Linked DNA regions of Nothobranchius furzeri. The protein of the gene in region 2 interacts with the protein of the main gene of each other region in a biochemical or structural test. Links are inferred from orthologs where the notes say so. Each region holds a gene or a part of one and is shown on either strand. Other genes may lie near its edges.

Region 1 (4,314 bases), on a different chromosome or scaffold from region 2:
TAGTTTACTGAGAGCTGCAGTCCCAGATGCTGCACAGTCATCATAACACTGTCTGCGGACCTTCAGCAGCGTCTCTTTGGTGGTGATGGACTTCTCCAGCAGCTCTGCAGCCTTTGCCCACTCCCCTCCATAATACGCCCGAACCCCGCTGTAATACAGAAAATCATAGGGCTGCAAAAGCGACAAAACATTAGAGCTGCCGCTAAGCGACGCACCCACGGTTATGTTTATTAGAGCTAAAATAAGATAATAACGCGCCACGTATGCAGTGAGATGTTGCGCGTGCAGCGCCATGGTCCGAGGAGCAGACGGGAGTCAGAGGAAGAGGAGGAGTGAGAGAGACGTGAAGAAGAGCTCAAATCAGAAAGACACGATCACAGATCAAGGACCTCGTCGCACATTTAGTGTCGATTTTCAACTTTTTAAAATAAAATTGTTCTAGTCTAACTAAAAGTGCAGTTTTAAAACTGATTTAAACTTGTTAGAAGTAGTTTTAAAGCGGCAGTGTTTTACCGCCACTAGAGGGCGCTGTTTTTGTGTTCAACCGTAATTACCGTAATTCGGCAAATAAGGTATCTTGAACGAAAGGCAATAGTTAACCACTGATAAGATGATTCATTAAATGAGTTTAGCAATTTGTGGATTTTTGATGCATGTATAAAGTTTTAATCAGTTGTGTAGTGCTGTCAGATGTCCACGTAGTGTGAATTTTTAGAATAACAATATGTCTGGATGCTCTTGTTTTGTAGATTACGGTAATGGTTTGAAACTGTTTGCAGGTCGAGGCAGCATATATTCAAACAACAATTTTGTCTTCTGTTTTGATACCAAAATATGCATGTCTGTCAAAGTGTTTTCTTACAAGTAAGGTTTGACAGCTAAGATAAATCACGTTGTGGTCAAATAAAGTCTGTTCAACTGAGACTGAACAATTAGGATGATTAAAATCTCTCAAATCCCTGATGACTACATGTGACCATTTACGTGCTTATTTGGTAATTCGTAACATGTTTTTGTAAAAATCAAGATTAAAAATTATTTTTTAACAACATGTTTCTGAGAGCAGAAGCAGTGTTTTATCTTTTCCACAACCTAGATCATATTTTTTTGAGTCAAACATCTTAAACATCCAAAGAGGACTCATGGCAGTATTTTTGACTGAGGTAGCATTATGGTTAATATAAATGTTATTTTGACGAGATTTCTTTAGAAAACTATATGGATTTAAGTGGCTTTAGGACTGTTATATGAAAGTTTGGCTTTCCTTAAAGGTCTCGTGCTCGGCCTTCCTCCAACACAAGGCAGCCTCTCATGATTCATTCAGGCAAACAGACAGTAGCAGGCAGGCTAAACAACGGACGGGTAATCTAAAAGCTGGGTGGCCAAACCTAGAAGAACAAGGCTCCTCATTGAATAACACAATTAGATAATTCACCATGACGGATGTTGGTGAGGTTTTGATGTCGGTTTTGTCCACAATTCGTGTTCCGAAGCCGGGGGACCGTGTTCACAAAGATGAATGCGCCCTGTCATTTGCTTCGCCGGTGAGCCGTTTCTTTTATAAATCACACTAATAACTCACCGGAAGAGCAGAGCTATTTTCTCATTGTATTCGTCTCATGAAATTTAGTCTGACCTACAATTTTTTTACTCCTCTTTAACGAACTGCTTTACTACATGTTCTCTCAGCTAACTGGCAAGCTAGCGTCAAGCTAAGCTAATAATGCATTGTAATGGAAACGTAGCTTTTAGCTATCTCTGCTGGTTTAACTGTCAAACCAGAAAGCAAGATAACAAATGTTATGTGGCTACAACTATAGCCGAATTTTTGGAGAAGTTGTCATAAAAATGATCTTAGTGCTATAAACCTTTGGTGTTATACTTGTGAACATAGAAATCAATAAATTAACGTTAGTTACCTTGTTCTACAATGCTAACTAAGCTAACTAAGTTGCCCAGGTTACATCCACTGATGCTTTGTCACTGAGATGCACTGATTGGTTCCAACTTTTTTGTGTTGTGGACAGGTGGTGAGAGATCTAGGAGGTTGTGCAACAGTAAACATTAGTTTCTGTTTTTCAGGAGAGTGATGGAGGCCTGTACGTGTGCATGAACAGCTTTCTGGGCTTTGGTAGTCAGTACGTTGACAGACACCATGCTCGGACTGGCCATAGGGCTTACCTGCACATAACCCGGACTCGTAAGGCCAAGGTAGACCCTTGAAACCGTATGAATAATGTAAAAAATTTGAAAAATGTTCCATTTTTAAAATCATGTTCTATCATTATGCTTACAGAAGGAAGATGACAACAACTCTGGCTCTGGACACCCACCTAAGAAAAAGCCCACTAGGCTGGCAATAGGTAAGACGTCATGCTAAATTATTTGAATCGGCTTTAAAGTAAACCTGTGATTGCTGTGATAGTTTAAAAAAAAAACTCAAATTTAGTTTTTCTTGTAGTTTTTTGGATATCAAATCAATCAATCCTCTTTTTGTCATTTATCTTTTATATGCAGAATATTTTATGTTTTTTTTAATCATTCTTGTTTGTGCAAAACATAGGTCCCACTTTAATTCACTAAAATTTCATCATTGGGATTTTTTAATAGTAAAATGTACTGAAGGCATTTTACGGTCATCGTTACATGTCTTCTGTCTTTGCTGTTTTTCTTCTGCCCTAGGGATTGAAGGAGGCTTTGATGTTGAACAAGATCAGTATGAGGAGGATGTAAAGGTGGTCATTTTACCAGACAGACAGGAAGTGACTTCAGAGGATCTTGCTACAATGACTGATGTTGTCAGAGAGCGGGTGAGTCATCAAAAAATTAATTTTGTATCAAATAAAATCATGGGATGTTTAAATAAAATGAAACAAATCCCTCTAATTGCAATCTGGCTGATTCATTCCTTAAAACATTAAATTTTGTGCTGCACTATCAATAATTTTTTAATAAGAAATTAGTTTAAATAAAGGAGTTCTCATTTATGGCTTGCATGGTGGCGCAGTGGTTAGCACTGTTGCCTCGCAGCACGAAGGTTGCAGGTTCGAAACTCGGCTGCAGCCTTTCTGCGTGGAGTTGCGTGTTCTCCCCATGCATGCGTGGGTTTCCTCCGGGTTCTCCGGTTTCCCCCACAGATCACAACATGCCCTATAGGTTATAAACTGTAAGTCGCTTTGGATAAAAGCGTCTGCCAAATAAATAAACATAAACATGTCTTGTTGTGTAAATCTAGGTGTCTCTGTCAATGACGGGTATCATGACCGCCGACTCCGTGTCTCATGCCTTACAAGTCCAGCAGTGGGACGGAGAAGTGAGACACGAGTCGAAGCATGCCGCCGACCTTAAACAGCTGGACAATGGACTCAAGATCCCTCCCAGGTGAAGTCAAAGCTGTCTGGATCTTGTTCTCAGTTGCTTTTCATCAGACGATGGATCACCATCCAGAACGTGAAAAGAAAAAGTGAAATGTATATTTTAGAACCCATGCATCTGAAGGTTTTGCTTTTCTTTGTAGCGGCTGGCGTTGTGAAGTCTGTGACCTTCAGGAAAATCTGTGGATGAACCTGACGGATGGGAAAGTCCTTTGCGGTCGCAGGTATTTTGACGGCTCTGGGGGCAACAACCACGCTCTTCTCCACTACCAGGAGACCGGTTACCCCCTCGCTGTCAAACTTGGTACCATCACTCCAGATGGTGCTGGTGAGCAGAAACCTTTTTAAGCTGTAATTTGAGTATTTTTGGTGTTTTTTGCTGAATTGATCGAGTTTATGTTTTCATCCGTCCACTGCTGGTTTTCATCTGCTGCCTGTTTTCTTATGTCCAGATGTGTATTCCTATGATGAGGATGACATGGTGCTGGATTCCAAGTTACCGGAGCACCTAAGTCACTTTGGCATTGACATGATGACTATGGAGAAGGTGAGACTTGTGTTAAAATGTATTTTATTTAGAAAAACCGACACCGCTGCGAAGCTGCAGAGCGCTACTCTCAGGAGTGAAGGGAAACTAGAGACGACAGTTCGAAGTAGAGGGAGAGAAAAGGTACCTGACGCCGGGGACACACCGGTCGCCGAAGCGCCGGGAGGCGAAGCGCTCACGAAATTCGGCCACTGCTCCTCAGTTCAGACCTGACGCTTCTTTCTCTGCTCCTCTGCTCCGGTCGAGGCACGCCTCGTAGTTTTTCTTTTAACCACTTGGTGTCCTCCATTTCCTCTCTGCCTTTTCTCTGCTCTTTTCCTCTACACCCCCCTCCCCCTTGCTGTTTGTGTGTGTATGTGTGTGTGAACCTATGGTGTGAACCAGTTGTTAATA
Region 2 (4,324 bases):
GTCGAATAAACTGCAACAAAACCAAAGAGAAGCGTCATCTCTAGTGGACAAACCATAGCTGGGTTTTGATGGGTGTGTTGGACGTTAGAATGGACATTTGGCCTCACCAGCTGTCAGAGCACTGGTGTGTAAAAGGATATGGGTTACAGACCATTCGAAGACACCAGTTGCGAGGCCTCGTCGTTTGTTTTAGGCAAAAGAAGACTAGCGGAGCCAGGGCTGGGTACGGCTGCTGCTCCTCCTCGTCGGAGACACAGTCCGGGTCATGAATAGGAGCTGTGATCCGAACTCCTAGCGTGGGTCCAGCGTCCACCTCCAGCTCTGGTTCCTGCTCCACACCTTCCTGAACTTCACCACTCCATTGGTCTCCATCTCTATAGATTCTCTGTCCTTTATTTTCCACCTCCTCCTCCTTCTCCTCCTTCTCCTCATCCTGACATCCTCCTGGGTCAACATCGTGCTGACCTGGGGACTTCTCGCTCCTGTGGGCGGTCCGTACAGAAAGCCTCACGTCGCCTTGCTCCTCCCCTCGCTCTTGGCGCTCTTCGTACTGAAAGCGGACTCTCCCCTCGCCATCAGTCATGATAGAGCATCAGGCAGAGCCACTCTGAGGGGAGGTCAGAGGAAGAGGTGGGTGGTGTAGAGAGAAAGGACATGCAGGTGGGGGGGGGGGGGGGGATCATCAGGAAAGAAGATAAAACCAAGATCAATCAGTTTCTGGCACAAATTCTAACAACTAAATGAATAAATATCTCATGACACAGAGATTTTTCAGGTAGTAGTATAAAATGATGACATCACCGATGCACAAATGACAGCGAGACGACTGTATGGTGACAGTGGTGCCGAATTCATTCTACAGGGACTTTTGGCATTTACAGAGTTTTGGGTTTTTGTAATTTAAAGATCAGCAGGTAAGTTTCAATAACCAAGAACCCCGAGTAAATCTAAAATACATGTTTAAGTCGTGAGCCATCCATCCATCATCATTTGCTTATTGGGGGTCGGCTCACGTGGGCAGTAGCCTAAGCAGTGAGGCCCAGACTCCCCCCAGCTCCTCCGGTGGATTCTAAGGCTTTCCCAGACAAGAAACACAGTCCCTCCATCAGGTCTTGGGTCTTCTTGGTCTCCCGGTTGGATGTGCATGGAAAACCTCACCAGAGAGGCATCCCAGATGACCGAGCTTCTCACCCTATTTCACACCCTCATATCTGCAATCTCATTCTTGTGCATGTTTTAGGAGAACGAAGCAACCTAAAACAACTTGATTCTATGTGAGGGAGAAAACCCGACGTGTAACCTTCATAACTAGCTCTAAAACTCAACAGCAGTCGGGGCTTTGTGCTAACTCTCTTTATGGACTCTCTTTATGTAATCCAGCCACATTGGAGGGTCGCCAGCATGAACGGCCTGTTTAAGGTCAAAGGTCAGACGTGATCCTGTAAAGGATTTTTTAAATAAAGATCAGAATTCACGGTTACACCAATCACAGCGAGTGGTCCATGTCCTTATGCAGCCGTAGACGCCGCCATGTCTGACTTTGGTGTTCTGAGATGTAACGACGCAGCGGTTTTGATCTCATCGGTCCATGGAACATGTCCCAGAAGTTTCGGAGGTTGTGCTAAATGTTTTGGTAGATGGTAGACGGGTCTTTGTGATGCTTCCTTTTTTTTTTTTTTTGCCTCAATTAACAAGAAGGTCGATAACTTTTTAAAATAGAACCATTTGAATAGCTTTTGCTCCTTTACCCTAAAAAAATACGATTTGAAAACTCCATCTAGTATTCACTCGGATTTTCTTCCATTCTGGAATTCTTTTGCTGATCTGAAACATTTAAATGTGACAAAAAAGACAAACTAAATCGAGGCTAAACATGTAGGATGTAGACAGAATGGAGCTTTTCCCATGCCTTCCTGTCTCTTCCTGTTGCTATGTGATGGAACAGATGGACCACTCTGTCTCTGGTCTACTGAAGGTCTTTAGCCCACACTATTCCACGGTGGGCACGCAGCGTAAATGCGCCAAAAATAGGGAGGGGGGCTTTTACGCCTCGCTAATCCTGATTATTATAATAAACGGAAAGACATGGAGAAGGACAAATACATTTGTCATGATAATCCAGCAAAAGCAGACGTCACTCTTGATTTTTTTTTTGTTATTTTTATTCTCTTTGTCCATCATGAAAAGCGCATCTGATGTTTGCGCGCTCCCAATAAGAGATTTCATTTAATGCAAGACATTTCACGCATTTTCACATGATTGGATGTTTAAATAACTTATTTTTAAAGGAAAATGAGACGAAAGGAAAGAAAAGCGCAGGAGGTAACTGAGCGCTCGTTGCCTTCTCATAGTGCTTTTTTGTTGTAAAAAGTAGATTATTAGATATTATATGCACACTAATATAATGTGCAAACTGAAAGAACTTATTTGTTTTAAATACCTTATTGAGGCGGAATCGGGAGTTCCCATAAGCATGATCCGTGACTTTCCGTCGTTCCTCAGCGGCGCGGCACGGCGCGGACCTTCCCTTTTCCTCTCTTTCCGCAAATTCAATTTTTTTCTTTTTGTTTGTGATCAGAAACAATCCTTAAGATCCGCAGGAATCACCGGAAGAAGTCGAGGAAGTGTCTTGGAGTGGTGTTGATCTGCGCTTCAATTAAAAGACGGGGACGTGATCTATCCACGCATCCATCTGCCCGTCCATCCTCGCCGAGGAGTTAGTTGCGCAGCGTGGAGCGGGTGGGGTGGGCTGGCGCGCGCGCGAGCGGGTATGTGTGAGTGGGTGGGTGCGCTGGAGCTCTGTGGAAGATCTGACACCAATAGGAACTTGGCCCAGGACCTGAGAGCCCTCACACGTGACCTGGTGTCCGGAGAGGAGCGATGTTCACCAGGGAGACGCACGCACACGCGCGCTCAGGCGCGCACGAGGAAAATGAAGAATTGAGCAAATGGAGAGCGCACATTAGCACTAAATGCATTTATTAGACAAAATCCTGCAATTAATAATAATAATAATAATAATAATAATAATTGTCCACGTGGGCTGTTTTTCAAACCTTGAATTTGTATCTAAAAAATCTCGTTATTTCAGGGTTTTTGGGGGAAATCCAAATGCATTTTTGCAAAACTGTTATTTTAACTCCAAGCAGTGGCTTTAGTAACTATATTATTCTGCTACGTCACACAAATGATTGACAACACAATTCCTCCATCATTCCAGCTTTCAGAGAGGCAAGGCACACCCAGACAGGTGACATATAGACATTTATGCACACTCACACCTAAAGTCAGCTTAAATCCTTCATTACCAACAGGCGTGTGTTTGAAAAACATGATTACAAGGAGGAAACTCATTTAGAGGACATGCAACCCCTCTCAGAAAGGCTCCAGAGGAGGGCGTTCTTGTTGTGAGACATAAAGGATTAGATCAGTCGCTGCTTTTCATGCCAGGATTTAAAAAATAACATAATTTTAGGAAGATTATATGTGTGTGGTGAGGAAACCAAAATTATCTCAACACCTGCACATGCTCATTTCAATAAGCTGTTGAATTCATCTACTCTGGTTGACTTCGAAGAGTTACAGATGTACGTCTGATGATCAATAAATTCTCACTAAAATATTTCCAGTGGGGTGTTTTACAGGGACAGATGCACTCAAACAGACAAAACTGTTATAATCCACATTTTACAGGTTATAGAAACCCGTTCTGATTAGAGGTGCACCGATTGCAGTTTTTGACAGATCACTGGTCTTTTCACCGATTTTTGCCAATACCGATTTTGTCTTAACCTCCTGAAACCTGAACCCGAATTTGATGTGATTTAAAAGAAAAAAATATATCTAACTATTACAGAGTAGTCTACTCTCATTAACGGAAACAAATCTACAAATATCAAAATTTAATTAAAATTTTATTAAATAAAAAATTTGTCAAATTTCCTGTAAAAAAAGAAAGAAAACAAAACATTTTAAATCAGTTTCAATGTCATGTGTCTATAAATAATAACAAAAAGGTCTGAGGTGGAGATGATAACATTTTAAAAGTCAAGGAGCCAATGTCCACATATGTGGACACAGGGTCCGAGGTTAACTAAATAAACATGATATTAATCTTTCAATTTCCTTTTCCTGAGAAAACCAATATGAAAGCTCACGAAACAACACCAGTTTCAACTGGACATTAGGTAATGTTCTCAAATACAAACAAACACGTTCAGCACTGCTGTTTGAACTACAAAATCGTATTTGTTCCTTTAGACTTTCATTTTCCTAATTTTGAAAACAAAACTTTTGTACCTGTTTTGACACCCAAAAATTATTC

The links.
Region 1: the proteins of cacna1ha (region 2) and usp5 form a complex in vitro, tested with the Homo sapiens proteins (2 studies listed by BioGRID, with this or other methods). The link is inferred for Nothobranchius furzeri from reciprocal best matches to the Homo sapiens genes CACNA1H and USP5.

The regions. Positions count from the first base shown.
Region 1 is NC_091745.1:74,214,567-74,218,880, forward strand, and holds the start of usp5 (ubiquitin carboxyl-terminal hydrolase 5), read left to right. Parts: upstream 1-1,298; 5' UTR 1,299-1,436; coding exon 1,437-1,544; intron 1,545-2,082; coding exon 2,083-2,211; intron 2,212-2,296; coding exon 2,297-2,363; intron 2,364-2,682; coding exon 2,683-2,810; intron 2,811-3,235; coding exon 3,236-3,381; intron 3,382-3,517; coding exon 3,518-3,702; intron 3,703-3,826; coding exon 3,827-3,921; intron 3,922-4,314. Other genes in the region: p3h3 (prolyl 3-hydroxylase 3), read right to left, coding at 1-294. UniProt on the Homo sapiens protein: Deubiquitinating enzyme that participates in a wide range of cellular processes by specifically cleaving isopeptide bonds between ubiquitin and substrate proteins or ubiquitin itself.
Region 2 is NC_091752.1:49,325,372-49,329,695, forward strand, and holds the start of cacna1ha (voltage-dependent T-type calcium channel subunit alpha-1H), read right to left. Parts: upstream 2,991-4,324; 5' UTR 2,441-2,990; intron 608-2,440; 5' UTR 584-607; coding exon 141-583; intron 1-140.